Linked DNA regions of Callithrix jacchus. The protein of the gene in region 3 interacts with the protein of the main gene of each other region in a pairwise test. Links are inferred from orthologs where the notes say so. Each region holds a gene or a part of one and is shown on either strand. Other genes may lie near its edges.

Region 1 (9,822 bases), on a different chromosome or scaffold from region 3:
ACACTCCAGCCCAGGCACAGCAACATCCACCTGCAGATACATGCAAAGCGCTTTATGATCCAGCCCAGCCCTGCACAGCACAGAGCTGAGCCGGGAGCCTGGCAGGGAGGGGCCGGCTGCCAGTGCAGCCGCCCGTGCTAAGGCCCTGAGCTCCTCCTCGGGCACGACTGCAGCGCCGGCCTCGAGGTATCCTCTCCTGAAAGGTCTGAGCCCTCGCTCTTCTGCAAGCCGCACTCCGCTCTAAGCCCTGCCTCAGGCGCCTCCTCGCCACCTGGGGAAGAAGGGTGGCCAGCGTCAGGCCCAGCGGGAGGGAGGGCCACTGGACCCTCTCTTGTGCCAGCTGAGGGGCCACCCTGCACCCTGACTCTGACCCACCCTCCCCCGACCACAGGCCTCCCCCGCCTGCTCCTGCTGGAACTCAGGCCGAGGCCGATGGGCGGTGCCTGGCTGGGCAGCACCAGGGGAGGAGCCTGAGGAACCCTCCCGGCCAGATAGGCCTTGGCCGGTGCCCCTGCCACCCCCACACTTTCAGCCATGTCACAGCAGCCCAGGGCGGAGGCGGCCTGCAGGTGGGCTGGAGGCTTTGGGGACATGGATTGGCCACCAGAGGGCAGAAGCTGCCCTCACCACAGACAGGCAGGCGCCCTGCTCCAGCGGGACTCACCGGGCACCGTGAGGTCCTGAGTGTAGATGATGTCGTCCTCGATATCGAAGAGGTCCTCGTCCTCGTCGGCACCGTGCAGGTCTTCCAGGTAGGGCACCACAGTCATGCTGCGCCACCGGTCCTTGGTGTCCGGGCTTGGCGGGATGGGCACCGGTGCTTCAGCTGGTGGGTGTTTCTTCCGGAACCAGCTGCAAATGCCCAGAAGCAGTGGCACCTATCAGGCCGGCACAGGGCAGTCCAGCTGCCCAACCCCGCTCCTCGGAGCTGGGACCAGGCAATGCGAGGGGTGGCCGTGACCACAGCAGCTCAGCTATGCCCTCCTGGAGCAGCCAGGCTGCCAGGGCCCTACAGCTCTGACCTCACTCCAAACCTGACACGTCTCCTCCACCCCAAGGCCTGACCCCCATGCCCCGTTTCAGCCTCAGATCTGTCTCCCAGGTGGCATTCAGAAGCCAGGGCACCCCCCAGATGCAGGTCAGCAAAGGCCAGAAGGGAGGCCACGTGCACATCCAGCCCAGGAGGCTATCGGAGGGCAGCCCCAGCCCCCACCAGGCTCCCAGCTGCCCCAAGCTGCCCAAAGATGCCCCAGGCACAATCAGCACCAGCGCCTCAGGGGTCCAAACACTCCCACTCAGGCCTTGTTGGACAGCTGAGGAACTCTGAGGGCTTTAGCAGAAGGTTCAAGGACCCCCCGCCCAGGGGCTGGCCCAGGAGGTGAGGGAGGTGGCACTGCAGGGCCTGCTGACCCCACCCACTGCCTTGTCTTCCCTGTGGTGGAGCTGGGGGCCCTGGGCTGGATCCCAGTGAGGAAGGAAAAGGAAGACCCTCCAAGTGCCCGGGCCAGCCGTGCCTTTCCTGGCCCAATGCCAGGCCTGGAGCAGGGATGGACACATGACCTCACTCAGACCCCAGCACAGACAAAGCCTGTCTGGCCAGCAAGGGGGCGCTGCCCAGAGACCCCCCTCAGGCCCCGAGAATTGTGAGCACTGTACGTGATCCTGCCCTAGACCCAGACCGGCACTCCCACCACATCCCCCACCACGCCCCCTGCTCCGGCCCCCACTCAAGCAGCTGCCCCCATGGCCGGCTTCCCTGTGGCCTTGGCCCCACTCACCTGTGCTGCCGGATCTGCCGTATGGAGAACCTCTTGGCCGGCTCATACTCAAGCATCCCTGAGGAGAGGCAGGTGAGGAGCCGGGCAGCGCCAGGCACAGGACTGAGACCCCACCAACCTTCCCCACCTGCCCAGCCTCTGCTGTCAAGCCCTGGGTGACGCCTGGATGCTCCCAAGGGCGGCCTCCCTGACAGAGGCCACTCCAGGGGACATCACTGCATGGTGGATGGGCGACCAGTGCCACCTGCTGCCACTCGCAGATGTGCAGCAGCGTGAGCCTGGCAGACCCTGCAGGCCAGGGAGCTCAGAGGCCCGGGCGGGGGGGGGGAAGAGCAGGGCAGCGCTACCTTCAAGGGTGGGAGTACAAAGGGGGAACACAAGGCCCAGAAGAAAGGGTGGAGTTGAGTAATGGCGGCGGCGGGGAGGGCCGGGGAGGACCTTTGGGGAGGCCGCCCTCTCCAGTCAGTCCTCTCAATGCCCTGCTAGGGTCCCTAGGGCCAGCAGCCACCCACCTGACACCCCCAGCCTGCATTTCTGCACAAAACCCCCTCCTCCCTGTGGAGGGGCTGTGGGCACAGGGATGAGGCTCCCACCTTTCAGCAGGTCGGAGAGCGGGGGGCCACAGTCGCCTGGGATCGCGTAGCTCCCCTTCCCAATGTTCTCGAACAGCTTATAGATGTTGTCCCCCTCGAAGGGGTACAGGCCCGTGGTGATGTTGTAGCTTCATTTCAAGGAGAAGGAAGGGGGCGTGGTCAGCCACGGTGGTCGATGCCCTGGGAGTCCCAGCTCTGCAGCCCTCGTGTGGCCGCTGGAGCGCAGGCCGTGCGAGCTCAGGGACACCTCTGTCGTCACCCCCTCCCACTAGCAGAGGCCGCGGGGCAGGAGGGGGGTGTCCTCTGGACCCACCTGGGGTAGGGGCTTGGAGCCAATCTCACCCACCTGGCTTCCCTGTGGGGCTCTGGGAGTGAGGGTGGGCTGTGCCACTGTGAAGACACCCGACATGCCAGGCCGCACCTCCCACGGTGAAATACCATGTGCTCTGGGAGTCACACCTCAGGTAAGCACCCCCCAGCGGCTGTGGCCAGCAAGGGACTGGGCTGATGGCCATGCCCTGTGCCTACCCAAGACACAGAGGCCCCTCCAAGCTGTGTGTATGGTGAGTGCTGGGACAGCCGGGGCACTTACAGGGTGACCCCAGCTGACCAGATGTCCACCTTGAAGCCTGAGAAGGTGTCCAGGCCGTTGGCAATCTCGGGGGGCTGGAACGCTGGGGAGCCCTGGCTTGTCCGGCAGGTGTCATCTGCCGCAAACGGGTGCAGTGCCTGTGGAGATGCCGCGCAGCCCTCAGAGAGTGCCGGGACGGGGCGCCCCAGGGCCCCCCAGCGCGTGCCTACCTCAGCTACGCCCAGGTCGGAGATCTTGAGGGTGCCGCCGGTGGTCAGCAGTAGGTTCCCCGGCTTGATGTCTTTGTGCACGATGCCCTGGCTGTGCAGGTACTCCAGGCCGTCGATCAGCTGGCAGAAGTACCTGCGGGCAGCACAGCACACACCTGTCTCAGGGCCGAGGCCACCCCGCCCATCACAGGCTCTCCTCTGCAGCCACCTGGGAGCCTCCCAAACACCACAGGCACAGCTGGGGAGTCACAGGGTCCAGGCACACCGGACAGCGGAAAGGTTGGGTCCAGCAGGGAGCCTCGCCCGCACTGGCAGTGACCACCCTTGTCAGGCTGAGCCACATCAGGCAGGGCCCCGGGTGTCCAGAGGTCTCACTTCCCCGTGGGCCACAAGCTGGCTACAGCTGTCTTGGAACAGTAGGCCCCTCCCCTAAGGCCCTTCAGCAGCAAGGGGCCCTGACTCTGGCCACCAGACCTCTACCCAGGAGGGCCGGTCAGGGCAAGGGGATGCCGGGGACTGACTGGGGGCAGGCCGCTGGCCTCGGGCAACAGGAGGCAGGAGGCCGGCAGCAGCGTTGCCTGTGGATGCCACAAACGGGGGGTCCCTAAAACTGGTTTTTGTTTGTTTGTTTTCATGAAAACTGTTTTCAAAAATCTCGGGCCGCCAGGCATGGTGGCTCATGCCTGTAATCCCAGCACTTTGGGAGGCCAAGGCAGATGGATCACAAGGTCAGCAGTTCAAGACCAGCCTGGCCAAGATGATGAAACCCATCTCTACTGAAAATACAAAAATTCCAGCTACTCAGGAGGCTGAGGCAGGAGAATTGCTTGAACTCGGGAGGCGGAGGTTGCAGTGAGCCGAGATCGCGCCATTGCACTCCAGCCTGGGCGACAGAGGGAGACTCTGTCTGGAGAAAAACAAACACACAAACAAACAAACAAACAAACTGAGGCCCTCGGGTCAATGAAGGTCAGGACAGGCCCCGTGGGTACCGGGAAAGGAGCGGCCCCGCCCGCACGCACCCGTGGGCCTGGCACAGCGGGAAGCGCCTCTCGGGCACGCTGTCCAGCATCTCCTGCATGCCGCAAACACAATACTCCATCACCATATACGTGCGGGGGTGCTAAGGACACAGCTCAGGAGCGGCCCCGCCCACAGGGCTCTGAAGGGACCCGCGCACCCACCCTGCCACTCCCACCCTGCCACTCCCCGGGGCCACACCTCTACAAAGGCCCAGGGCCCTGGAGTCCCAGGAGGAAGCCGGAGAAGGTGTGAAGGACAGGGCTCTCCGGCAGCGTTCCTGCGGGGCTCCCTTTCCCCACCCTGCCCACAAGCAGGGGCAAGGCCTCCCAGACTCCGCCACGAGCAGGCTCGGGGCCACGTAAGACAGGCCCAGGCTCTTGGCCTTGCAGCTCAGGGAACACAGCCCCAGCCTCAGGACCACTTCTAGCTCTTGCTCTGGGCACAGGGCCCCGGGAAGGACAGTCCCCGTAGGGAGGCTGTGCCCACAGGACCCACTGGGGGCATCTACAGATGACACGAGGACATGCCTGGCCATGAGGAAAATGGCCCACAACACTAGCCTGTGTCTCAGGCCCCGGCCGCACCCTCATTAGCCAGGGAGGAGATGTGAGAAAAACGGGTCCTGACACCCCCCATGACACAGGGCTGGGGCTTGGGGCCCCTTTCAGCAAGCGGTTAGCTGTTGCCACAATGGCTGACCTCTGGGGAACCAGGGAAAGCCACTGCCCTCGTGTGCCAGTATCCTTCAGGGAGATGAGACGGGGTACAGACCTTAGGGCAGCCCGACCCAGGGCCCCCCAGCCCCTCCCACGGAGGCCCCGCAGCTCAGCGCTGGGAAGGATATATTTTCTGCTTCTCTTCGTTGTATAACACATCCACCAGCTGGATGACGTTTTTGTGCCGTAACCTCCTCAGCAACTGAATTTCCCTGGGACAGAGAGGAAAAAGGTGTCAGCTGATCCCCCGATGTCAGTGACATGACCCAAATCCCCGGGGTCGGCCTCCCCATCTCCCCACGGAGGTGGCACATCTGGCTCCCTTCCCTGGAGAGAAGCTATGGGTTCAGACTGCTGGGGCACGGCCCTGCAGGGGCCACACTTCCAGGCTCGGGGCGGCAGGGGAAGGGAAGGCGGCGCCCTGGCTGGTGAGGGCTCTGGAGGACTGGGTGAGAACACTCTTAATTCAGCTGTTACGCAGTCACAGTTGTGCTTTCTAGACACAAGACTACTGCCACAGTAGCACAGATGGAGCCCAGACGATGGGAGGAAACAGGGCCTTGGGGCCCTGGTGACGCCTCTGTTGCCCAGTATGGTCCCATGCTTCCAAGGGCTCCCCACTCCTCTGAGGGTCCCAGGCCTTGGAGAGTGGGCTGCAGGTGAGCTGAAAAGATGGCCCACAGGAAGGGGCACCCGGAGAAGGAGAAGCCAGCCGCTGAAGCCATTGCGGGGTCTGCCATGACCACCCGCCTGTCACAAGGGTTGGTGTCCGGTGCCCAGGGCCCAGCAGGCCAGAAGGCACTGCCTCCTCTGCAGCTGCTGCCCTGTTGCGGACATCTCATTTCTCCAGAGTGACCCTGCCAGGCACGATGGCTCCCGCCTGTCATCCCAGCACTTCAGGAGGCTAAGGCGGGGGGATCGTTTGAGGTCAGGACTTCGAGACCAGCCTGTAATGTGGCAAACGCTGTCTCTACTAAAAACACAAAAGTTAGGCAGCTCATGGTGACTCAGGCCTGTAATCTCAGCACTTTGGGAGGCCGAGGGCAGCAGGTCACCTGGGGTCAAGAGATCGAGACCATCCTGGACAACATGGTGAAACCCTGTCTCTACCGTAAATACAACGATTAGCTGGGTGTGGCGCATGCCTACAGTCCCAGCTACTTGGCAGGCTGAGGCAGCAGAATCGCTTGAACCTGACTGATTTTGTTTGGTTTGTTTTGAGATGGAGTCTCGCTCTATTGCCAGGCTGGAGTGCAGTGTCGCGATCTTGGCTCACTGCAACTTCTGCCTCCTGGGTTCAAGCAATTCTTCTGCCTCAGCCTCCCCAGTAGCTGGGACTGCAGGCATGCGCCACCACGCCCGGCTAAGTTTTGTGTTTTTAGTAGAAACGGGGTTTCAGCACGTTGGCCACAATAGTCTTGATCTCTTGGCCTCGTGATCCGCCCGCCTCAGCCTCCCAAAGTGCCCAGCCACCTCGCCCAGTCGACAGGATCCCAATCCAGGAAGTGGATTCAGAGTGGCTGCGGCTGGTGGAGGGGACGGAGACTGACACTACAGGAACGGGGCTTGTTTTTAGGGTGACGGAATGTTTTGGAATTAAGTGGTGGCTGCAGAACCGTGTGAATGTACGAAATGCCAATGAACTGCACACTGCGACTGAGTTGTACAGTATGAAACTGTATCTCCAGTCTATACATCCTTAACAGGAAGCGCAAGCACGGAGCATGGAAAATAGAGGGGGGGGGGGGGCGGACACGGCTCGCGCCTGTAATCCCAGCACTTTGGGAGACTGAGGTGGCAGGATCACCTGGGGTCGGGAGTTCGAGACCAGCCTACCCAATATGGTGAAACCTCCTCTCTACTAAAACTATAGAAGTTAGGCGGGCATGGCGGTGCACACTTGCCGTCCTGGCTACTGAGGAGGCCAAGGCACAAGAATCACTTGAACTCTGGAGGTGGAAGGTGCAGTGAGCCGAGATCCCACCACTGCACTCCAGCCTGGGCAACAGAGTGAGACTCCATCTCCAAAAATATACCTGGGGGTGACAGGGGTGTCCCATCATGCAGCCTGCCCCGCCCCTGCCTAGGGCTCCATGAAACAGGGTGGCAGAGGTATCCCATCACTCATCCTGCCTGGCCCCTGCCCAGGGCTCCATGAAACGGGGTGACAGGGGTGTCCCACCACTCATCCTGCCTGGCCCCTGCCCAGGGCTCCATGAAACGGGGTGGCAGAGGTATCCCATCACTCATCCTGCCTGGCCCCTGCCCAGGGCTCCATGAAACGGGGTGGCAGAGGTGTCCCATCACTCATCCTGCCCCGCCCCTGCCCAGGGCTCCATGAAACGGGGTGGCAGAGGTATCCCACCACTCATCCTGCCCCGCCCCTGCCCAGGGCTCCATGAAACGGGGTGGCAGAGGTGTCCCACCACTCATCCTGCCCCGCCCCTGCCCAGGGCCGCCTGTTGCTGGAAGCCTCAGCTCACGACTCCCAGTGCATTAAGAATCCCAAGGCTCTGACACTGCTCCCTGCCCTCAGTGCAATCTCAGACGGCCAAGACCAGGGCTCTGTCAGGGCTGCAGGCTGCACTGGGGCTGGGCCGGGACAAGGGGCCACCAGATCGGACAGCAGCTGGGAGAGCAGGATGGAGGGAAAGGAAGCTGGGTGAAAGGACAGGGGCACAGAGAGGCACCACTGAGTGCCTGCCTCCAGCCCCTGGCTGTGCCCAGCACCCTGCCCTGCGGAGCGTCCCCACTCCCCACTGGTTGCAGCGGGCCTGGTCTTCTCGCTGGGAAGCCCTGCATTTCCGTTCTCCCCGGGCTATGTGGCGGTGGCACCAATTCCCAGCAAGGTCCGGCAAGGCTATTTATAGAGTTGGCCAGGGCCTGTGTCCACAGGCTGGCAGGCACCCAGGGCACTGAGGGGGACGCTGACGGCCAGGCTGGGCTCAGCAAAGGCTCCGGGGCCCAGTGCCCTCCTGCCTGCCAGGCTGCTCAGGAGAGCTCGGGGTGGGCCCAAGAGGCCCGGTTGAGCCCCAGTTCCCCTTGTCCCCTGGAATCTGTGTGGCCCTAACCGCCCCCCCCCGCTGATGAGGGCCACAGCCCAATCCTGCGAGCCAAGACTTGCCTTCTGTTCAGAGGAGACCGAGTGGTGGTGGGTGGGGAGGGTGCTGTTTTCAGATCGGGACCAGCCTGAGCCCCGACCAGGCCAGTCCAGGGCCCTCCCCAGTGTCGGGATGAGCCGCTTCATGTTAGGGGGCCACTGCCTAAGGGACACCAGAGCCGACGGAGGCTGCCACTGGCCAGCAGAGGCCGGATGCTCGGACACCAGGCCCCGAGAGCCTGATGCTCAGCCATGAGGCAAAGGTGCCCCTCCCTTGGCAGAAGCCGGCTACAGGCAGCGACGGTGGCCCAGGACACCCTCTTCCAGCCTCCTCAGTGTGGCCAGGGGAGCCACGGGACCCTCGGGGCCAGCACCGCTCTCGTCCACCTCCTGTTGCCCAGGCAGGGACCACCCCACACCCACCCAGGCTCCAGTGCAGTCCTAACCCCGAGGAGGGGCAGTCAGGCCTCAGAGTCTTACTTAGGGGCTGCATGGCCCTAAATGCACATGAGGATTGGAGACTCGGTCCTGGAAACCTCCCTGCACTGACGAGGGTGGGGACTCAGTCCTGGAAACCTGTGCCGGCCACCACCTGCTGACACCACGTCTCCCCCACGAGCCCTCATTCTACAGGTGGGGAAACAGGAACAGGAGGAACCTGCCCGCACTGAGGGTGCCAGCCCCTTCCACTGCCCTGCCCCTGCCTCCCCTCCACAGGGACACTGCACAGCAACCGAAACAAGGAGCAGCCCGGCGTTCCTCAGCAGGTGGGCACAGACACGGGACACTGGGTTGTCTGTTTAACTAAAAGGGACCAAGACATTCTGCGCAGGCACACGAGTCCCCTGATTTACGCCAGGGGAGAAGCAGGGGTGGAGCACCCTCTGCCTGCTGGCAGTCACCTCTGGGATGCTGGGGCACATCAGCCTCTCTAGATCGCCAGGCTTCCTCTGCTGTCTCCAGCCAGATAAAGAACAGAACATGAACAAGAGCCACAGGGAACCCTAAGAGCTCGGCGAGAGGGAAGCCCGGCTGTTAGGGCATTGCCAGTTGCTCCCAGGTACCACATGAGGAACCCGCTGGCCTTGCCCAGGCAGTGTGGACTGTTTTGCTGACTTGATTAGCCAGACAGGAAACAGGAAGCAGAGTCATAAACGCCACTCAAGCTCACAGAGGGATGGGGGTAGGAGCCCCCATCAGCCTAGAAACAGATCATACGGGGAAGAGACGGCTCAGCCTCCTGAGGCTCAGAGCAGGACTGGGAGGCACATGGATTCCCAGGAACTCCCACCTCCAGACCACATGCCCTAGTCCCTGTGGACGTGGCTTAAACAAGGCCCTCAGGAGGCATTCGATGCGGATGCCAACTGGGTGCACGGGCACCAAAGCACCCACGATTCACAGGCAGAGGTGGGGGCAGCCCGAGTGTCCACCCGCAGATGAGCGGTCCAACACGGCGCGGCCCTCCACGCGCTGGAACGTGACAGAGACGTGCACAGCAGCAGGGCTCGGACCCAGGCCACAGCGCGGATGCACCTTGAGGACGGCACCCTCCGTGAGACATGCCGGACACAAAATGCCACACGGTGTGTGACTCCATTTCCGTGAAACGTCCAGGTCAGACCCATCCTGGGTGTCAGGACTGGGGAGGGAATGGGGAGTGACGGCTCACGGAGAAGGGGTTCCCCACTGAGGTAATGGGAATGTTCTGAAAGCTGACAGAGGTGACAGTTGCACACTACATGCCACTGAATCGCACCCTTTAAAACCGTCAACTTGGCCAGGTGCAGTAGCTCACGCCTGTAATGCCA
Region 2 (10,598 bases), about 96 Mb from region 3:
AAAATAAGCCTATACTTAAGAAATGGTAGACAAAGAGGTTCTTCATATATCAATAAAACATGAGATAGGAATTTGTGTTAAAACATCCAAAAACAGTTATTTCCTCATTCCTAAAATTCTATGGAAGACATATTTTCTAAGACAAGTAATTTATTTTCGCTATTTAAATGAACTGCAGGCTTGGGTTCAGAACCAACAAATAGGTTGATTAGTGAGTCTGTCATCACTTTTACGTTTTCTTCTTTACATACTTGTTATATGGTAGAAGTGATGTCTGATATAAATGAGGGATAGGTGTGCCCTAACATTGAAATATGGTATAGTATTTTCAGATCAATTGATATGATAAATAAAAATAATAATTTTTTGAAATAACTGCTATTTTTAACAAATAAAATTCATAAAAACAAATTGCTTTTTAAAATGGGATGGTATAGAGGTATGCTCAACTTTATGCAGGTCTTGAATTTCTTTAGTTCAAGTCAGTGAAAAGTAAATCTACCTTTGAAACATTAGTGAGCCTCATTTATCAAAAAGGTTCATCTTGGCCAAGCTAGGTGGCTCACGGCTGTAATCCCGGCACTTTAGGAGGCAGAGGCTGGTAGATCACCTGAGGTCAGGAGTTTGAGACCAGCCTGGCCAACAGGGTAAAATCCCATCTCTACTGAAAAAAAACCAAAAATTAAAAAAAAAGGTTCATCTCAAAGAATAATCTATATTTTCCAATATGAAATTCATGAATTGTCCATATATTTCTACTAGTACAGTAAGGATTATGACAAAGCTACAGCCTTGTTTGCTTATGCTTCTCTTCATGCTCAGAAGCTGCAGGTTGAACTCATCATGTAATGGAACACAGAAAATTGTATCTTTTTCTGGAAGCCATCTCAAGTGGAAGTCACAGGTAGAGTGCTTGGATGATTGTATTATTTTAACAAACACTGCTGCTATTAATCTTCTGAGTACTTTTCTTTTTTTTTTTTTTTTGAAACAGAGTTTCACTCTTGTTACCCAGGCTGGAGTGCAATGGCGCGATCGCGGCTCACTGCAACCTCCGCCTCCTGGGTTCAGGCAATTCTCCTGGCTCAGCCTCCCGAGTAGCTGGGATTACAGGCACGCGCCACCATCCCCAGCTAATTTTCTGTATTTTTAGTAGAGACGGGGTTTCACCATGTTGACCAGGATGGTCTCGATCTGTTGACCTCGTGCTCCACCCGCCTCGGCCTCCCAAAGCGCTGGTATTAACAGGCTTGAGCCACCGTGCCCGGCCTCTCTGTACTTTTCAAGAATGACGGCTTTACATGGCAATTGTTATATATGTTAACATTTAATTTCTTCTTCAGTTAGCTGGCAACAACAAAAAATATATCTATCTATACATATATATCATATTTAATATATATCATTATCTTTAATATATGTTAGTTACAAATATGCCTATATACAATCTTTTTTGTTGTTGCCATATCTATATATATAACTAATACATATCAGTATATTTAATATACACATTAGTTACATATATAATTTAAAAATTAATTTAAATTATATTAAATTAATTTTTAAATTTGAATTTTTTTGTGAGTGATATGAGGGGAGATCGGGGTCGTCAGAACCAGAATTAAGTGGCAGCAAAGCAGACTGGGCTGAAGTGAGCAGCATTCAATAAAATGGTTGTTTTCCCACAAGGGCTGCATTAGGGCTTCAAGGGGGGGCACTGTAGGGACAAGGAGTACTGACATTTTTCCCTATTCTCATCTAGATGGTATATTTCATTTAAAAAATTGTGTCCACACAGAACAAATGGTTCAATTCAGAATTTCAAGGCCAACTTCTAAAAAATACTACAACTGAAAAATAATGAAAAAGCTCTGCCAGGATGAGGCCTCAGCTTCTACAGTGTTGCAAAAACCATTAAAGTATGAAAATGGAAAGTACAGTAAACCCTGCTCACTGCCTGCTTGTGCCTGAGGTTTGCCATCTAGTAATTCTTAACAGTCACACATTTACGGGTGATAGGTGTTTAATTCTAGAGGTCATAACACATTTTGTTTTAACTTTTTGGTTGATTAATTTACATAAGCGTTAACAATTGTTGGATTACCAAGCAGTGCTTGTAGCATTGCTTCTTTTTTTGAGGTATTAGTATTTGATATTACAGTTTCAATGGAGTGTAAAGAAATTCTAATTTCACCAAGAAGTTACATTTTTCAATTGGACAAACACCTTTTATCATTCCAGTTAATTTATTATCTTGCTCTGGTGCCTCTAAAACTTTGAAACTAAAAGGCATTTTTTTCCCCTGTTCATAAATGCCTCTTTCAGAATGAAACGTTCTCCTTTTGGAAGGCTCCAGGTACTTTTTAATAAATGATTTGTTCTAGTAAACTTCAAGAGCTTTTTAGGTAAGAGTTCCATAATAGCTAGGATGCAAGGACTGTTTTGGTCTCCTTTCTTTCCAGAAGACAAAGCAAAATAATATCATTATTGTTCCTTATAGAAGATGGCTGTCCATTTAAAAAAACAAAATGCAATAACTTCATGTCATTCATTAAACAGTTATTGATTGCTTACTATGTGCCAACAAGTACAACGTTGAGCATCGGATATTGCTTTTGTCAGTACAGATAAGATGTTATTTCTTTTTAGTTGAACTATAGAATATGATTCTCTCAGACAGCTTTTCCTTTCTTTTTATTTCATTGTTTATAATTTTGGCTAGTTTAAAGAATAAGCCATATAGAATACATAAATTCTTTTTTAAAGCTCAATCAGCCAAAATTTTTCACAGTTTAAACTAATAGGATCATAGTGAGTTCAAGTCTGTTGATACCTACTGAAAGCAAGGGTCAAAATAAAAGCTATTTTAAGGTTTCTGGATTAATGGTAAAAGAAATAAAAAAAATAAGGCAATCTGTAATGAATAATTAAACCAAATATATGAGTGTTCTAATTTCAAAAGCAGGCAATACATTAAAGCAGATGAAATCTGTATTACTGATAATTAAATCTGTGTTACTACAGAAAATATGAGAATAAAAATTATTTTTAATATAAAATACACTTTCTATTAGTAGTACTCTAAATTAAACAAATATTTTCATCCATAATCTATCTTTTGAGATTTCTATAATCTTTAACAATTCTTATCTTATGTGACTCTTATTTTGTACATAACTGTCAGGCTTTAAATTATTTGAGGTGAAGCAATGTAATTTGCACAACTTATTTTCTAAACTGTTGGCTGATCTTCAAGGACAGGTCAACAACCTCCGGAGATGTAAAAGACAGTATATTAATTTGCACCCAGGAACAACCTCCAATACAGCAGAGACCAAAGGTATGAAGGAATTTCATCATCATTAAAAGAATGCCACTACTTGTTTATCTTTTTTTCTTCTGAAAGTGAGGCACGGGATACTAATTAATGAAATATTACGAAGATAAATGGTTTGGTTATGTTACCAGAACTGTACCAAATTATGTGGTTTCAAATACTAATCTTTTTTGAGTAAAAAATTCACAGTTAAGGAACCAAATTGACTCACAAGACTATGCCAAAACATTCACACCTTTCTCTGTGAGGCTGAGTACCTCTAGTTCTTCAAGTCTCTGTCTCCAAAGTAGTGACAGAATTCAAAGAGATATCACATACTCCTGATGGTTTATTGCTCACCTCTAAGAACACTACAAGTGAGTTCAGTATTCATGGGAGGTGCAAAAGTGCAAATGAGAACTAATTCCCAAAAAGCAGAGTAAATGGCTACAGTATGGTCTACTGGTTACCAAGATGCAGTAATCAATTAATGCTGATTAGACACAAATGTAGATGTAGGAGCAGAACATCTTAATGTATCCTCTAGCACTAACTTCTATTTTTTCCTTCCCATCTTCTAATGTAACAATCTAACTACTGTAGACAATTCACATTGTAAACAGAAAACCAACAGACCAACCTAATAAAACAAACTTCCTACTAAAAGTAAAAACGTTAATGAGAAATTTTGCATAGCCATTGATTCATGTATTTCCATTCCTGTTAATGCGATTTCTGATCAATCTGTGGACCAGAAGAGCATAATCTGAGTATTTACTCTATTGGTTATACAACAGTACATTTCCAGATATGCTTCCTACTGCAGTCAATTCTATGCTCAGAATAGCACATCTACTAAGACTTGAAGATGAAAAAGATGACATTTTTGAGTACTTTATAAAAAATCTATATAGCAACTCAGACACAATTATGTTACTGTTTGAAAAATCAACTACTCGTCTTACTTCTCCCAAGTTCAAACCAACTGAAGGTTATGAAGCAACCACTTCCCCCAAAAGCCAGAACTTTCACCTCCTCTGAACAGAGAAATACCTCTCATAAATTAGGTAAAAATAAGGTCTTGCTGATGGAAGGATCATCCAAGATTCATGTAGCTGTCAATTCCCTATCTCTCCCACAATGTGCAATCCCTGAAAGTCAAGGTAGTAACTTACTCCATCAATTATCTGCAAGTCTAAAAGTGTGGTTAAAGCAACCTGCATAAATATTAGTTTCTCAAATTAGTTCAATTTGTTTCCAGGAACAGTAACAAGAGAAATGTAAGGAATATGATCACTAAATATAAAATTCTGCCAATTTCAGATTAATTTGCTTTAATCAACTCAACCATCACAGATCTTGTTTAAGAGGTAGAGTAAAAAGGAAGTGCAAAGATCAAAGCAATGCTTACAAAGGGGAAGGGGAAGGACTATTTTTGCAATGTATACCCCCATATTTACTACCTGGGTTTGAAAAACAGGGGCATTTACTCAGCACAAGTGAGTACCAATGCAGAACATAAGAAATTTCAAAAAAAAAAAAAAAGATAATAAGATTTTTAAATCACCAGCAACCCAGGATTATACTGTTTTCTTTAAAAAGTCTCTAAGAGTTTAAGTGGTTTTTTCACTGCAAGCAGCAGTATTAAGCATACATATAACGTGTTCCTTTGTGTTCAAGTTTGTCCAGCAGGCTGTAGCCCAGGAAGACATTTTATCTAAACAAGCAGGGGAGGCTATTTAGGAATTGCAGGTATATCAATATGGATGAATAATCTCAGATTTCATGTCTCCATTAATCGTATAAGCTCTTTTCGTTTTAGCAATTCAATTAAATCATGAATGTAAAATTCTACAAGGAACAGATCTTTTTACTTCCTGCTTTCCCAAGTTTATAAACTAAAAAAAGTACTCTGCTTCAAATTTAAATACATAATTCCCATAGTGCCTCAAACAGTAAAAGGATTCACCTCTAGAAAGCACAGTATTATAATTAGGAAAAAAAAACATACTTCAGTTTTAAGTTTCCCTTTTAAAGTTTTAACAAACAGGAATGCACTTTAAACTGCTTGATAATATTCAGTTGTCGGATTCTGCTAGAAAAAACGTATGGAACATCATGACCCCAACCTTTAGTATTTACTAAAGATCACCAGTGTGTAGAAGAATATTTTGATGCCAGAGCTAGTCAATGTTTTAGTAATACCATAAGCATTTTCTCAGATTATGAGCTTTATAACAAAATCTTTAGGTTAAATACAGTTAGTTCATAAACTGTAATGCTGAAAACCTCTACTTAACAGAGTACATGAAAATGTCTTGAATCTTGATAATTAAATCCTGTATCATTAAGTCCCATTTGAGTTTCAGGATAGACCAGTAAGCCAGGGCAAACATCCCCTGGTGTATATGTTTTTAAAGACCATAGGAAAACTTACATTTAGGTTAGGCATTGTTTTTACATTATTTTTTGTTTTGGAGGTCATGCACAATGCATGGTGACTCTGTCCAAGAGTTTTACATAATCAAGTCTAAAAAGTGCTCTAAGTATGCAAGTGACTATATCGTGTGTGTGGTGGGTTGGGGGGTGGGGGGCAGGGGGAGAGGGAGGGCGGGAGGGAGGGGGGAGGGAGAGAGAGAGACAGAGAGAGAGAGAGGAAGGGAGGGAGGGACAGCCTTCCTTTAGAAGTAGGAGAGGGATGAATAGACTCTCCTATTCAATTCTGGGGAGCTGGAGAGGGCTTTCCCAGCCAAAAGGACTGACAAGGACTTCTGCTTTCATTTCATGGAACGCCCTTAGGTGAAATCTGGTTCTGCACTGCACCAACCACCTTCCCTCTCTCCTCCGCGCCGCAGCGCACCTCAACCTTCTCACCATCCCCCAGCTGCGGCTGGGGGTGGGGATTTTAAAAGTTTGTAAGAGTTCCCCACCGGTTAGCGTTCCCGCCCCGCGGAGGGACGTGAATAGAAATGACCGCCCGGGGGCCACGGCCCTTCGGCCGAGTAGCCCCCTGCAAGGTCCGGATGCGCCGAGGACGTGAAGAGGAATGACCGCCCGGCGGCCGCGGCCCTTCGGCCGACTAGCCCCTGCGAGGTCCGGATGTGCCTTTCCCCGCTGTCTCCAATCCCTTGTGCCTCTCAGCTACTGTCAACCTTCTCCCACGGTCTAGCCCAGCGGTTAGCGCAGGAATAAGGAAGTCCGAGTGGGGCTGGAGGGGTGCGGAGGGCTGGGTGGTGGGACTCGGGCCACGCGTACCCTGCCGGGTCCCCACTCGCCCGAGTTTGGCTTACCCGGGTGGCGAGTCAGCGTTCGGCTTCCTGTCGCGGGTGGGCTCTCCCTCCCGGGCGGCGCGGGCCTAAGAGCTGGAGAAGGAAGAGGCGGCGGCCGGCCGGAGCCCGAGCGGGCCCGGGTGCGGGTCGGGGCGAGCGAGAGCGCAGCGGGGCCAGGCTGGGCCAGTCAGCGCCGCGCCATGTCCGCAGCGCGGGCGGAGGGAAGCGCAGGGCGCGCTGTGGCCGGGCGGCGGCGCGCCTTCCTGGCCGAGCGGCTGCGGCCTCGGCGGCGCTGGGCTCCGGGAGCCGGGCCGGCGGCGGCGTGCAGGCCGAGGGCGGCGGCGGCTGGCGGCCAGACCGACGGGAAGGGCAGGGGAAGCTGTCAGCGCGTCGCCGGGCCGCTCCGGTGGCGAAACCTCCTCTTCCTGCCCCGGCTCGCTGGTGCACTTCTCTCTCTTTCTCTGTCGCTCACTCTCTCACTTCCTGGCTGGAAATTCCCACTGACGTCGAGAGAGCATACAGACAGACTGACACACGCGCGCACGCAGCGGGGGCGGGAGGTGGGGTCGCTGGCGGGGGTGGGGGAAGCCCGCATTTATGGGGGCGCCCTGCGCCCCAGGCCCGGCCTGGCTTCTGGGCTCGGCTCCCGCCCCTCGGGGCCGCTTCGGGGCGCCGGGCGAGGGGCGCGCGTTAGGAGGCCAGGACGCCCCGGTACCCTGCAGGGCTCTGGCTTCCCAGCCAGGCGCTCCCGAACCCCGAGGGCTGGAGCCGGTAGGGACGCCCCCAGAAAGCGCCTGCTGGGCCTGATGGTCTAGGAACGCAGGCGGCGCGGAGGCGGCGGCGGCGGCGGTGCAGCTGATAGAGTCATGCGGTCCAGAGACCCTAAGGGCAGGCCCGAGCAGCTGGAGGGTCGGCATGGATCCAAGCATGCCAGATATAAAAATAAAGCTCATCTGTATATTCCATTTAAGTGTGTCTCAGTTACACTCAAATCTCTTCGCAGATTAAACTAGAATTTAGATATCATAACCGACTTGTGTCAAGTGAAGTAACCTCTACTGGTTTTGGTGCAGTCTTAAATCTGGTTAGGACACTTACTCAGAACATTCATCTACCAGATATTGTTAGGCTTTTATGATAATTACTGTGGATAGAATCATAGTGATGGTGGTAGGAATGCATTTGATCTGACAGAGGGGAGTTTTCTTTTTCTCTGAAGAGATCGTTACTGGCACCCACAGACAGGCCTCCCAGTGGCCACCACCATTCACTGGCATCTGAACTGCTTTAGTGTTGGGCACTGTACTAGGCACAGGCTGGGGAGAAGTTGGTAGTGGACTACCTCCCCACATAAGCATGTTAAGCCGAAATAGATATTTTAGAGCTCATTGTTTAACTACTGGGTCGAGTGACAACTGAAAGCTTAGCTTTAAAACATCAGTAATCAGGTCTGCACCAGGCAATGTCGCAGTGACATTTAGATTGCTTATGGCATGTTCATCCTAATCCTTTCATGCCCACTTTCTGTCCTCCTTCTCCAGTAGGTCATAAGAACCTTCTTGGTGGAGTGTTTTTATGGAAAATAAAAACGAAACAAACAAACAAAAAAAACAGATCCATTTGATTGCCTATGAGGTGAGCCTCCGCACCTAGCAGTCTACCTTTAAGAGATCTCATTTAGCTCCCAGAGGCTGAGCAGCTGGGATTCAGAAGATTCATAAAGATTGAACACAAAGACTTTTAAAGAAATTCTGTAGGCCAGGCGCGATGGCTTACATCTGTAATCCCAGCACTTTGGGAGGACGGGGCAGGCGGATCAGCTGAGGTCAGGAGTTTGAGACCAGCCTGACCAACTTGGTGAAATCCCGTCTCTACTGAAAATACAAAAATTAGCCGGGCGTGGTGGCTACTCGGGAGGCTGAGGCAGGAGAATCGTTTGAACCCAGGAGGCAGAGGTTGCAGTGAGCCGAGATGGTGCCACTGCACTCCAGCCTTGGCACGACAGAGCAAGACTAAAAAAAGAAAAGAATTTCTGTGTTATTATTTATGGGACAATATTAGAAGTTGTGCCAATACTACAGTAGAATGAGATACAGTTTATGTTAAATGATTTTTGCCAGTGACATGAGTAAAAAGTCTGCAAGCTCTCATGAAATAACAAAGTGTAAGGGGAGTGGGTTCCCCCACTTTTGGAGGCATGAGCATACACACTCTACTTTTCGTTCTGCAAGGGGTGGCAGCCCCATTGCCAGAAAATAGATAAATAGAATTGTTGCAAGAGTACAGTCACTGTGACATATATGGGAGGAAAAATGAAGAGTGTTAATTACTGAAAAAGATTAAACCAAACTGCAAACTCAAAATGATCTCATAAAATGAACAAAATTGAGGGTAAGGTGTTGAGCAGGCATATTAGTTTCCTGGGGCTGCTGTAAAAGGTACCATTGATTGGATGGCATACAATGGGAATTTATTCTGTCACAGTCCTGGAGCCTAAAATTCTGAACTCAAGGTGCCATCAAGGCCATGCTGCCTCTGAAGGCTCTAGGGAAGAATACTTTGGCTCTTCCCAGCTTTTGGTGGTTCCAGCAATACTTGGCATTCTTGGCTTGGCTGCAGCACTCCACTCTGTGCCTACATTGTCACATAGTCTCCTTCCCTGCATTTCCTTTGTGTCACTGTATTCAAAATCTCCCTAACCTTTCTTTTATGAAGATACCAGTCATTGGATTTAGAGCCCACCCCAATCCAGCATCACCTCATCTTAACTTGATTACATTTTGCAAAGATTCTATTTCCAAATAAACTCATATTCACAGGTACCTGTGGTTAGGACTTGAACATATGTTTTGGGGGGGATGTAATTTCATGCACCACAGCAGGCAAAACTATAAAAGCCTTCAGCTCACTCTTTTTGGCTCCCTGACTAACCTTCCTCCATTCCTGCTTTGTTGCCCAACATTTTCTCTACACTCTGCACAAACCTGCTTCCAGGAATATTTCTTTTTTTTTTTTTTGGTGGGGGAGGAAGGCAGGAAGGAAGGGAAGAAGGACGGTAGGGAGGAAGGAAGGGATGAAGGAAGGAAGGAAGGGAGGAAGCGGGGAGGGAGGGAGGGAGGGAGGGAGGGAGGGAGGGAGGGAGGGGAAGAAAGGAAATCAAGCAATGAAAGAGATATTGCCGACCTGGATCTAGAGGTTTACAAGTTGATTTCTTTTTTTATTTGAGAGAAGGAAAGAAAAAAAAATAATAAGTAAAGAAGAAGAAGAAAGAGGAAGAGAAAGAGGGAGAGTAAATGGAAATATTGCTTTATTTTGAAAAAAATTGGGTATTAATAATGGCCAATTAATGTTTCATTTAAACTAATGGGTAGGTGTGATGTGGTATTGACAAGAATGTATATTTTGTGTATTTGAAGTGGAGAGCTCTATAAATATTTATTAAGTTTACTTGTTCTGGATCTGAGTTCAAGTCTTTGATATCCTTATTAATTTTCTGTCTCATTGAATCTAAGTCTCCTATCTGGGTGTTAGGATCATTAGCTCTTGTTGTTGCATTGATCCTTTTACCACTATATCTTTGTTGCTTTAAAATCTATTTTATCCGATACAAGAATTGCAACTCCTGCTTTTTATTTATTTATTATTTATTTTTGCTCTCCATTTGGTTGGTAAATCTTTCTCCATCCCTTTGTTTTGAGTCTTTGTGTATTCTTGCATGTGAAACAGGTCTGGATGTAACATGCCGTTGGGTTTTGGCTGTGTCTTTTGATTGGGAATTTAGTCAATTTAAATTTAGGGTTACTGTCATTTGATGTTGACTGGCTGTTTTATCCATTTGTTGGTGTAATTTCTTCTTTATGTTGGTGCTCTTTACTTTTTGGTGTATTTTTAGAAAGGCTAATACTGGTTGTTTCTTTCTGTGTGTAATGCTTCTTTCAGAAGCTCTTGTAAAGCAGGCCTGGTGGTAATAAAATCTCTGAGTTCTTGCTTGTTCATAAAAGATTTTATTTTTC
Region 3 (9,822 bases):
ACGAGACTCGGCTGACACGGCAAAACTCGCTCATCCAAGGGTTTCTTTTAAAATAATGGAATGTGCAAGATGGGATAGGAAAGCAGGCAGCCACCTCTGCCCCACAGCAGGCCTGTAGCTGGACCTGCGCCACGGCGGGTGGTGGCACTTGGGTTTCACGTGCCTCAGCTGAGGGTGAGGAGGAAGAGTTGGGGGTGGCAGAGCTGCCCGGGAGTGCAGTCAGCTCCTCCTCATCCGAGGACACTGAAGCACAGCCAGGTATACTGCTGGGGACCAGGAGTGCCTCCAAGTTCCACACCCAAAACTCCCGGAAGGACTGAGTACCCGCCTTCTGCAGGCTCAGCGTGTCTGCGTGGGTCCAGGCACAGCCAGAGCCGCCATCTCCAAAGCTGGCGTTAGGCATGTCCTTGCCAACAGCACAGTCTCCCACCAGCTTGGAGGCCTGGCTCAGGGCCGCAGCCGCCTCCTCATCAAAGCCAGGACCAGGGCACAGCAGCGCCAAGTGACAGTGAGGGCCAGAGAAGGGTTCACTGGACCCCAGGAGGGGCCGGGTCTGGGCGGTAGCTCTGTGTGGGTCCAGTGGGAGAGAGGGACTGCGGGAGTTCCAGCATCAGGAGAAACGAGGGAGCTCCTAGGTGGATGGGTAGGGGAGCCATGAGCCCAAGGCCTCTGTGTGCCGAGTGCGTCGGGGCCACTGCGAGCCAGCCACCCTCCATCTTGCTGGTGGTTGTGGTGGGTCTGTGTGGCAGGCAGGGAAGTGGAGGCACCCCGTGCACATCTCACCCGGACTGAGGCCGCATTGCACTCACTACAGGGCACAGGGCCTGTTGCCCGGGGCCTTTCTAGGCAGTTCTCTGAGGCAGCACCAAGGTTCATGCGGAAGCACGCTCTGGGATGCTCTGGGAAGACAGGATGTCCCATCCCCATCAGCAGCTTCACTGAAGCGGCCAGCGGGGAGAAGCCTGGTCCGAGAACTGCCCGCCTCGGCTGGGTGGATTCCAGACAGGGACCTCAGAGAGGACACAGCTGCGTTCGGAAGCCAGAGGAAAAGTGCCGTCTGGGCGGAGGCAGGGTGTTCTGTCTGATTTTGAGTCACCGTGTCACTTCCCTCTGGGGATTTGAAAGGAGCCACATACAGGGCTCAGCCTGAGGGGAGTGTGGGGCGGGTGGCAGGGTGGGCCCTCAGCACAGTCTCTAAAGAAGTGTCACTTCTCAGTCTGAGCTCAGCTGAGTCACCGGGGCTTCCCAGTGTAGGCCGGGTTAGGACACGTACTTCCTTTGTCATTCAGGGAAATCTCAAACATGACATCACTGAGACGTAGTAGGAATTCTAGGGCACACATGGGCTTCATGAGACTTTCCACTTAGCGCTGTGGTGGTTAGTGGGTCTCGGTTTGGGTCGTGGCTTCCGTGACTGAATCTCCTGACCCTGCATGGGGCAGAGGTTAGATTGCTGGGTCCAGAGTCCCCTGGTTGAACCTGACTGTCTGCAGGCAGGACACTGTCAGCCGGGTGCGTGGCCAGGCCCACCCTGGGCGGCTGGGGCCCCCTCGCTGGAGAGTCTGGTTTACAGTGAGGTTCAGCTTCCTGCCTTCCCTGCTGTCTGTGATGATGGCAAATGTCTGGCAATGAGAAGACTCTGCTGTGTCTGGTGTGCCAACCCCTGTAGACATTATGGCTTTAGAATATTTACATTCCAAATATTTAAAAGACAAATAGCTGGCCGGGCGTGGTGGCTCATGCCTGTAATCCAAGCACTTTGGAGGCCGAGGCAGGCGGATCACCTGAGGTAGGGAGTTCGAAACCAGCCTGACCAACATGGTGAAACCCCGTCTAAAAAAATAATAAAAGACAAACAGCTGAAACTGGTAGGTAGGTTGGGATGAGGACAGTGTCACAGGGACGAGGACTGTGTCACAGGGACGAGAGGACGGTGTCACAGGGACGAGGATGGTGTCACAGGGATGAGGACAGTGTCACAGGGATGAGGACAGTGTCACAGGTGACGTGGCCTGGTCCTGGTGGGGTGGGCCTGGGCAGGGAGGAGGTAGTCCCTTGTCCCCTTGTGCTGCTCCGCCAAATGAACGATCACTACCCACTGCACTGGGGGATGCAGTGAGACGCTGTGGCCTTAGTCTCTGGGTCTAGCTTTCTCCCGCCTTGCTGTGTGTGATAGTGCGTCTTCTCTCTGTCCCTTCCTCATGCAGTCAGAACATACAGGTGGGCCCACCTCCGTCCAGAGTGTTATTGAAAAGTTACAGGAAGAAAACCGACTGCTAAAACAGAAGGTGACTCACGTGAGTGTCTTTCCCGTTTCGTTTGGGAGGGACACGTGCCTTGGAACTGAGTGAGGGCTCTTTCCTCGGCTGATGCCAGAGGTCGCCCCACCTTCTGGCCACGATGGCTTCACACACACAATCCCTAGAGACTGTACTTTTTTTTGCCTACAATGATGTACAGGACGTGTTCTGTCCATCTCTGTCCCCCTAAAATGAACTCACGCGTCAGTGAAGGAAATGCGGGAGTCGCCCGCAGGAGGCACCTTCTCTAACGGAAAAGTCGCACCGTGCCCACGTCTGTTTCTGCGGTAGCGTACGGGCGTCGTCCCAGTGCCTCAGGATTCTCTAGTGGGCTGAGTGTCTGCTGTCTACAGAACAGGGAGGGGAGCTTCCATTTCAGAGGAAACTCGCTCTGCGAATCCCTGCTAGGAAATAGGCCACACTGGGCGCCGGCCTGAGCAGCGCTGTCAGCTGCCCTGCTCCACCTCCGCAGGTTGAAGACCTCAATGCCAAGTGGCAGCGCTACGACGCCAGCAGGGACGAATATGTGAGGGGGCTCCATGCCCAGCTCAGGGGGCTGCAGATCCCCCGTGAGCCTGAGCTGATGAGGAAGGAGATCTCCCGGCTCAACAGACAGTTGGAAGAAAGGATAAACAGCTGCACAGAAGTGAAGCAGGAGCTGGCGACCTCGAGGATGGCCCGGGACGCTGCACTGGAGCGGGTGCAGATGCTGGAGCAGCAGGTGTCTGTCCCCCGGGCTCGGGATGGCACTGACCAGCTGATGTCCAAAATCATGGGACAGGCTGGGCTGAAGGCTTGGTGGCCCTGAGTGGGCGGTGGTCATGGTGGGGGGAGAAGCCTGGTGGAGACTCCTCCTTCCTTGAGCAGGAATGTGTGTCTTGGCTCTCTTCAGATTCTAGCTTACAAGGATGACTTCATGTCAGAAAGGGCTGATCGGGAACGGGCCCAAAGTCGGATTCAGGAACTGGAGGAAAAAGTCACCTCTTTGCTGCACCAGGTGTCCTGGAGACAGGTAAGGTATCAGGGCATTTTTCTTCTTGCTTAGGTTTGCTGTTTTTGTTTTTCTTCTCATGAATTTAGAGCCTTTCTGTGTCTGCCAAGGCCCTGATGTGCTGGTGATGAGGGTGGTGAGCTCTTCCTGCTCTGGGAAGAGCCATCTTGCCTAGCACCTGGGGCATGGTCCTGGAAAGCCTCCCTGTCGCACTGGGTTTAGTTGTGGAGGAGGCTGGCATGGCGGCCTGTGTGAGCAGAGGGGCTGTCCTCAGGGCCTGTCCTGCCTGCCTGTCCGTCACTGCCATGCAGTCAGAGAGCGTGTCCCGGGCCTCAAAGTGTGAGCTCCATACATGTCCTGTCCTGTCTGTGAGGCAGGAGCCCTGCTTACCCTGTCACAGAGATATGATGGCCCTGGGTATCCAGGAACCTCCCCCAGCTCAGCCTGGCACATGGAGCTGGGCCTTGCTGGCCAGAGGCCCCTCACCCCACCCCTGGGCTCAGTGCTGTTCCTGCCATGGGGATGCCTTGAGGAGGCCTGCTGTGGGTAGGAGGTGATGGAGCTCCTCACTGTGTGGCCCACAGCCTCTTCCCTTCTCTTCACTGACTTGTGTTCTGCAAAAATCCCGAAGTTTGTTAGCTCCTCATCAAGTATCTAACACACGTCTGGCCCGGGCCCCACTCAGAGACCTCCTCCCCGACACAGGCTGAAAGGTAGTGGTGCCCTGAGAGTCGACGCCCCCCCGGGCGGGAGCTGGGACGCCAAGCTGAGCTGCCCCTTGTGGCAGGGTGTGGACAGGGATCCTGGGGCTGAGGGCAAGCCCCACTGCCCTGTTCTGAGCAGCCACTGGGCCTCTGTGGCTTCTGCTTCTCCTTCTGCACGAAGGGCACAGGGGAGTCATGGTGGGCGCCTCTTCTAACACGCCCTGGGACTAAGCTCGCAGCCAAGGGCTGGACACAGGCAGCCGTTTGTAGTCGTGCATGACGGAGGAGGAACCTGGTGGGGGACTGTCTTCCCCGCTTAAGTCCACAGGCTGACAGGGAGGTGCTGGAGGCTTCACCAGCCACAGCAGGCCCTGCCTTAAGCCCTTGCCGGCCCCTGCAGCCTTCTTGGCATCATAGAATGGAGTGTATCTGGGTGGTTCCCCATCCCCCAATTTCAGATTCTCCTGAGTCGCTGGGACAGCAGGCCTGGGACAGGGATTCTTCAGCATGTCCCCTGGGCAGGAATGGAAACATCTTGCTACAGAACTACATGTGGGTTTTCCTGGGATTTGGTTTTGCCTGTGGGTTTTCGGGGCTCCGTGAATTTGAGGAAGCCATGATATGGACTGAGGGGTCACTAATGGTACAATCGTGAGGATGGGCTCAGGCAGCCTCTCAAAGATTTCAGACCAGGGGAACGGGTTCCAGACCTGCAGGCCCAGATTCTTAGCCCCAAGGGTAAAATTTCTGGTAGGGCCTGGAGACTGTACCAAGTGGCCTCTGTGTCCCTTTCAGCAGTAGCCTGGGGCCCCTGGAGTGTTGCTCAGTCCCTAGGTGGCATACCTGGGGACATGGTGCTGAAGGCTTGGGTGATAAGCTGTAGTCCCACTGGGGAAAAGCCACATTCAGACGGAACGTGGAAGCCCAAGGCCCGCTGGAATGGCGTTCCCAGACGAGCAGTGAGGGCTGCAGGCTGCAGTGCTTCAGGACAGGCGTTTGGAGAACGTGTGCTAAGCTGTGCCAAGTGGTGGGGCCAAGCCAGGGACACCTCTTGCTGCTACTGAAGGACTCCCTGGGCCCCAGAGTGCTCAGCACCCCCAAGCCCCACAGAGGAGATGCAGAGTGGGGTTGGGACTGTTTGCCCAGCTCCCCATCCTGGGCTCTGCCACCTCCACGCTGTAGTGGTATGTGGGCCACATCGTCAGGGCCACCTTCTCAGTCGGGTCTCCTGGGGCCGATGGGGCCGACAGAACAGGGCTTCCACCAAAGAGCTGGGGAGTGGATCCCGCTAGGGCCTGTTTCTTCCTGAGCATGAGGGAGAGTGTGCGTGACCTCTGCAGTCATTCACTGAGCACACCTTTGTCTGGGCTCTGGGGTACAGCAGGAAGCAAAGTGAGGGACTACAGTTCCATTCAGGGATAGATGCAGCAGCCCTAGCTGCTGGGACCTGAGAGCCGGCTTTGTGACCTTCAGCACAGCCCATGTAAATAGACCCTTGCCTTTTCTGCAGGATTCTCAAGAGCCAGACGCCTGCCGGACTCACGCTGGGAGCAAAACTGCCAAATACTTGGCCACCGATGCAGTGGCGCTTATGGTGCCCTGTGGCTCGAGGCTTGGGACTGGGTCCCAGCAGTTGGAACCCCCTGCAGAGGATGGGCATCCTGGTGCAGCGCAGAAAGGCCAGGGGGACCTTCAGTGCCCTCACTGCCTCCAGTGCTTCAGTGACGAGCAAGGTGAAGAGCTCCTCAGGCATGTGGCCGAGTGCTGCCAGTGACTGAGACTCACCATGTCCTTGCGGCCCCTGGCCCGGCACAGCTGCCCTCAGGGACAGGGAGGTGCTCTCAGGTGCCATGGGTTGGCTCTACTGAGATCCAAGACCCCCAGAATATGTGTGGGGTGCTGTGATCATTCACTCTGGTCCCCCTTTGGCTGTGGAACAGGCTGGGTCCCAGGGAACTGCCAGTGAGGCTAGAGGCTGGAGGTGGAGATGGGAGGGAGGTCCCAGTCGTATGTCTCCATCAGGCTGAAGCCAGAGCGATCTGATGCTGGCGTGCCAGCCCTCCCCCATCCTGCACCTGGGAATGCCGCAGCTTGCCAGAAAGGGGTGGCTGCCTGTGGGAGCCACTCGTGCGGTCCCCAGGGTGGAAGCCCCATCCTCTTCTACGGGTAAGGTGCCTCCTCTCTGCCTGGAACCAGGAGGTTTGTCACATGGAGCACTGGCCGTGCATCACACTAGGGGCCCACCCACCGTCACAGAGCCACATGCCTACACTGCAAAACAGCATCGAATAGCATTTGTCGCATATCCAGAACTTAAAGCACTTATTTTATCCTCCTGTTTTTATAATAGATGTTCTTGCCACTGTGACTGCTCTGAGAATTTGTGTTGGGCGCTGGGTTGCAGGGACTGAGCAGTATTTCCAGCAGGATTAGAGCAGCTGGCATGGGAAAACAATACTCCTGCTGTTTGCTTTATGCCAGGGTGCCAAGACAAGGGGTCCAGTGGGAGGCTGGCTCTGTTAGGGTTCTCTAGAGGGACAGACTCATGGAATATATAGAGAAGTGAAGATTTCCATTCACTGCTCACCTTCAGGGATGTCCTAGAAGGGGGCTGTGGCGCTGTAGCCGTCCACTTCATATATATAAGGGGAGTTCATTAACTTACACGATCACAAGGTCCCGTTCGCAGGCTGAGGAGCAAGGAGAGCCAGTCCCAGTTCCAAAACTGAAGAATGTGGAGTCCGACATCCGAGGGGGGAAGCATCTGGCACGAGGAAGCTGTCGGCTGGAACTGAAGAATGTGGAGTCCGACGTCCGAGGGGGGAAGCATCTGGCACAAGGAAGGTGTCGGCTGGAACTGAAGAATGTGGAGTCTGACGTCCGAGGGGGGAAGCATCTGGCACGAGGAAGCTGTCGGCTGGAACTGAAGAATGTGGAGTCCGACGTCCGAGGGGGGAAGCATCTGGCACGAGGAAGCTGTCGGCTGGAACTGAAGAATGTGGAGTCCGACGTCCGAGGGGGGAAGCATCTGGCACGAGGAAGGTGTCGGCTGGAACTGAAGAATGTGGAGTCCGACGTCCGAGGGGGGAAGCATCTGGCACGAGGAAGCTGTCGGCTGGAACTGAAGAATGTGGAGTCCGACGTCCGAGGGGGGAAGCATCTGGCACAAGGAAGGTGTCGGCTGGGAGGCCAGGCCCGTCTCTTCTCACGATTTTCTGCCTGCTTTATCTTCTAGCTGCGCTGGCAGCTGATGAGATGGTGCCCACCAGATTCAGGGTGGGGCTGCCTTCCCAACCCCTGACTCAAGTGTGAATCTCTTGGCAACACCCTCACAGACACGCCCGGGATCAGTACTCAGTATTCACCACCACGAGTCCACCCTTGTCAGCCTGAACCCAGACACATCTCCTGAGCTCATACACAGTCTTCAAATAGACAGTAATGAGGTCATAATTAACACCTAACATAATACAACGTCTTTCATACAACCAGAAACGCACCAATCCCCAACCCAAATGCTGTCGTGAAGTCAATCAATCTTATGTCACAGGAGAAAGGAAATAAAAGGAAGATTTTTTAGCACAGGTGTAAACGTGCACAACCATTTTTAACAAAAGCAGGAAATGCTCATGGCAACTACAGGCCTGGTTTCTGCAGCTGGTCACATGGTCGGAGCTGGTACTGACGACTCCCTTCTCCCACCCATTCTGTATTCCCTTTGCCTTCAGCAAGCACCTCAGCAGGTCGTGGATATTTTCCTGGTGGAGCCACCCAAGCCTTCATTCCCGAAGGGTCTGGCTCATCTGTAGCCCTGCCTGGATTGGGCTGCCGTAGTGTCCCATTGCCTTAATCACAGGGCACGGGAATGCTGAGGCGCCCTAAGGGAGCTCCTGTCTTCCATGCACACTCTTCCCTGCCTCCCTTGTGGGGTAGTAGACTGATTTCATCTTGATAGTCTGGGTCGATCACCCCGGCCAACACTGTAACCCCCTTCTTAGCCTGTAGACTTAAAGGAAGGAGGAGCCCAAAGTGTCCATGTGGAAATCTTCCAGCTTAATGGAACCATTGTGTCTCCTGGTGGCAGCGTTCCTCCCTCTGGAACTAAGACCTCTAGGCCAGTAGAACATAATGTCGTGGGAAGAGGAGGCAAAACTTTTGCCAGTGGGCCCCTAGGGGTGATGGCGAGTGGTGCCACTTCCACTTCCACCCCTTGATTCCTGGACCCGTGAATCCGGGGCATGGGAGAAACAGTATCATATATTGGATGCTGATTCAGAGTATACACGGTCTCCTGGAGAACTGTGCCCCAGCCCTGAAAAGTACTGTCACCTAGTTGGCGTTGTAATTGTGACTTCCAAAGGCCATTCCACCATTCTATCCAGATGCTTCGGGATGGTGGGGAACATGGTAAGCGCAGTGAATTCCAGGAGCGTGAGCCCACGGCTGCACTTTCGCTGTAAAATGAGCACCTCGGTCAGAGGCAATGCTGTGTGGAATACCATGATGGCGGATGAGGCGTTCCCTGAGTCCACGGATGGTAGTCTTGGCAGAAGCACTGGGTGCAGGATAGGCAAACCCATATCCAGAGTAAGTGTCTATTTCAGTGAGGACAAACCTCTGCCCTTTCCATGATGGAAGCGGTCCAGTATAATCAACCTGCCACCAGGTGGCTGGCTCATCACCCTGAGGAATGGTGCCATACTGAGGGCTCAGTATTGGTCTCTGCTGTTGGCAAACTGGGCACTCAGCAGTGGCCGTGCCAGGTCAGCCTTGGTGAGTGGAGGTCCATGTTGCTGAGCCCATGCGTAACCTCCATCCCTGCCATCATGGCCACTTTGTTCATGGGCCCATTGGGCGATGACGGGGGAGGCTGGGAGAGAGGCTGAGTGGTGTCCACAGAACGGGTCATCCTACCCACTTGATTATTAAAATCCTCCTCTGCTGAGGTCACCCACTGGTGAGCACCCACATGGGATGCAAATACCATCACAGTTTTTGACCACTCAGAGAGGTCCATCCGCATACCTCTTCCCCAGATTTGTTACCTATTTTCCAATCATGCTTTTCCAAGTCCCTGACCATCCAGCCAAATCACTGTCCACAGCCCATGAATCAATGTATAATCGCACATCTGGCCATTTCTCCTTCCATGCAAAGTGCACAGCCAGGTGCACTGCTCCAAGTTCTGCCCACTGGGAAGATTTCCCTTCACCGCCGTCCCTCAGGCATGTCCTCGAGAGGGGCTGTGGTGCTGCAGCTGTCCACTTCAGGTGATGCCCGCATATCGTGCAGGACCATCTGTGAGCCTGGCCCTCGTCTTCTCTTTGTCAGCTGATCATAGGGAACTCCTCATGAGCCTGTCAGTGCAGGCTGCGGGAGAGAAGGCAGGTGGCAGGAGTGGAGACCATGGGCGTTTGAGCCACTTCCTCATGTAACTTACTTGTGCCTTCAGGACCTGCTGGAGCCTGATCACGTATCTACCACTTCCATTTGATGACGGAATGCTGCTGTGCACAACCCACTTCATGGCTGGATGGGTCAGAAAGCACTCAGTTCATGACAGGCAGTTCAGGTCACATGGTGACTTGATGACCTAGAGTCAGACGTTCAGTTTCCACCAAAGCCCAGTAACAGGCCAAGAGAGTAGTTATCTGCAGAAGATGGCAGGGCCTTGTCCAAAATCGTAGAGGCCTCTGCTGCGATTCTCCTATGGGGGCTGCCAAAGTCTCCACACGGCACCCCAACTGCACCGACACCTCAAGCACCATTGGGTCTGCTGGGTCACGTGGCCCAAGAGGCAAGGCAGCCTGCACAGCATCCTGGGCCT

Evidence for each region.
Region 1: the proteins of TNIP2 (region 3) and STK11 interact in binary tests that used the Homo sapiens proteins (3 or more experiments, as listed by UniProt). The link is inferred for Callithrix jacchus from reciprocal best matches to the Homo sapiens genes TNIP2 and STK11.
Region 2: the proteins of TNIP2 (region 3) and NFKB1 interact in binary tests that used the Homo sapiens proteins (3 or more experiments, as listed by UniProt). The link is inferred for Callithrix jacchus from reciprocal best matches to the Homo sapiens genes TNIP2 and NFKB1.

What each region holds. Positions count from the first base shown.
Region 1 is NC_133523.1:1,141,875-1,151,696, reverse strand, and holds part of STK11 (serine/threonine-protein kinase STK11), read right to left. Parts: intron 5,124-9,822; coding exon 5,040-5,123; intron 4,285-5,039; coding exon 4,195-4,284; intron 3,306-4,194; coding exon 3,173-3,305; intron 3,101-3,172; coding exon 2,964-3,100; intron 2,500-2,963; coding exon 2,372-2,499; intron 1,837-2,371; coding exon 1,779-1,836; intron 853-1,778; coding exon 665-852; intron 272-664; exon of another isoform or gene 1-271. UniProt on the Homo sapiens protein: Tumor suppressor serine/threonine-protein kinase that controls the activity of AMP-activated protein kinase (AMPK) family members, thereby playing a role in various processes such as cell metabolism, cell polarity, apoptosis and DNA damage response.
Region 2 is NC_133504.1:94,837,637-94,848,234, forward strand, and holds the start of NFKB1 (nuclear factor NF-kappa-B p105 subunit), read right to left. Parts: upstream 7,064-10,598; 5' UTR 6,607-7,063; intron 6,410-6,606; exon of another isoform or gene 6,217-6,409; intron 1-6,216.
Region 3 is NC_133504.1:190,414,038-190,423,859, forward strand, and holds the end of TNIP2 (TNFAIP3-interacting protein 2), read left to right. Parts: intron 1-2,207; coding exon 2,208-2,297; intron 2,298-2,772; coding exon 2,773-3,021; intron 3,022-3,192; coding exon 3,193-3,312; intron 3,313-5,505; coding exon 5,506-5,769; 3' UTR 5,770-7,579; downstream 7,580-9,822. UniProt on the Homo sapiens protein: Inhibits NF-kappa-B activation by blocking the interaction of RIPK1 with its downstream effector NEMO/IKBKG.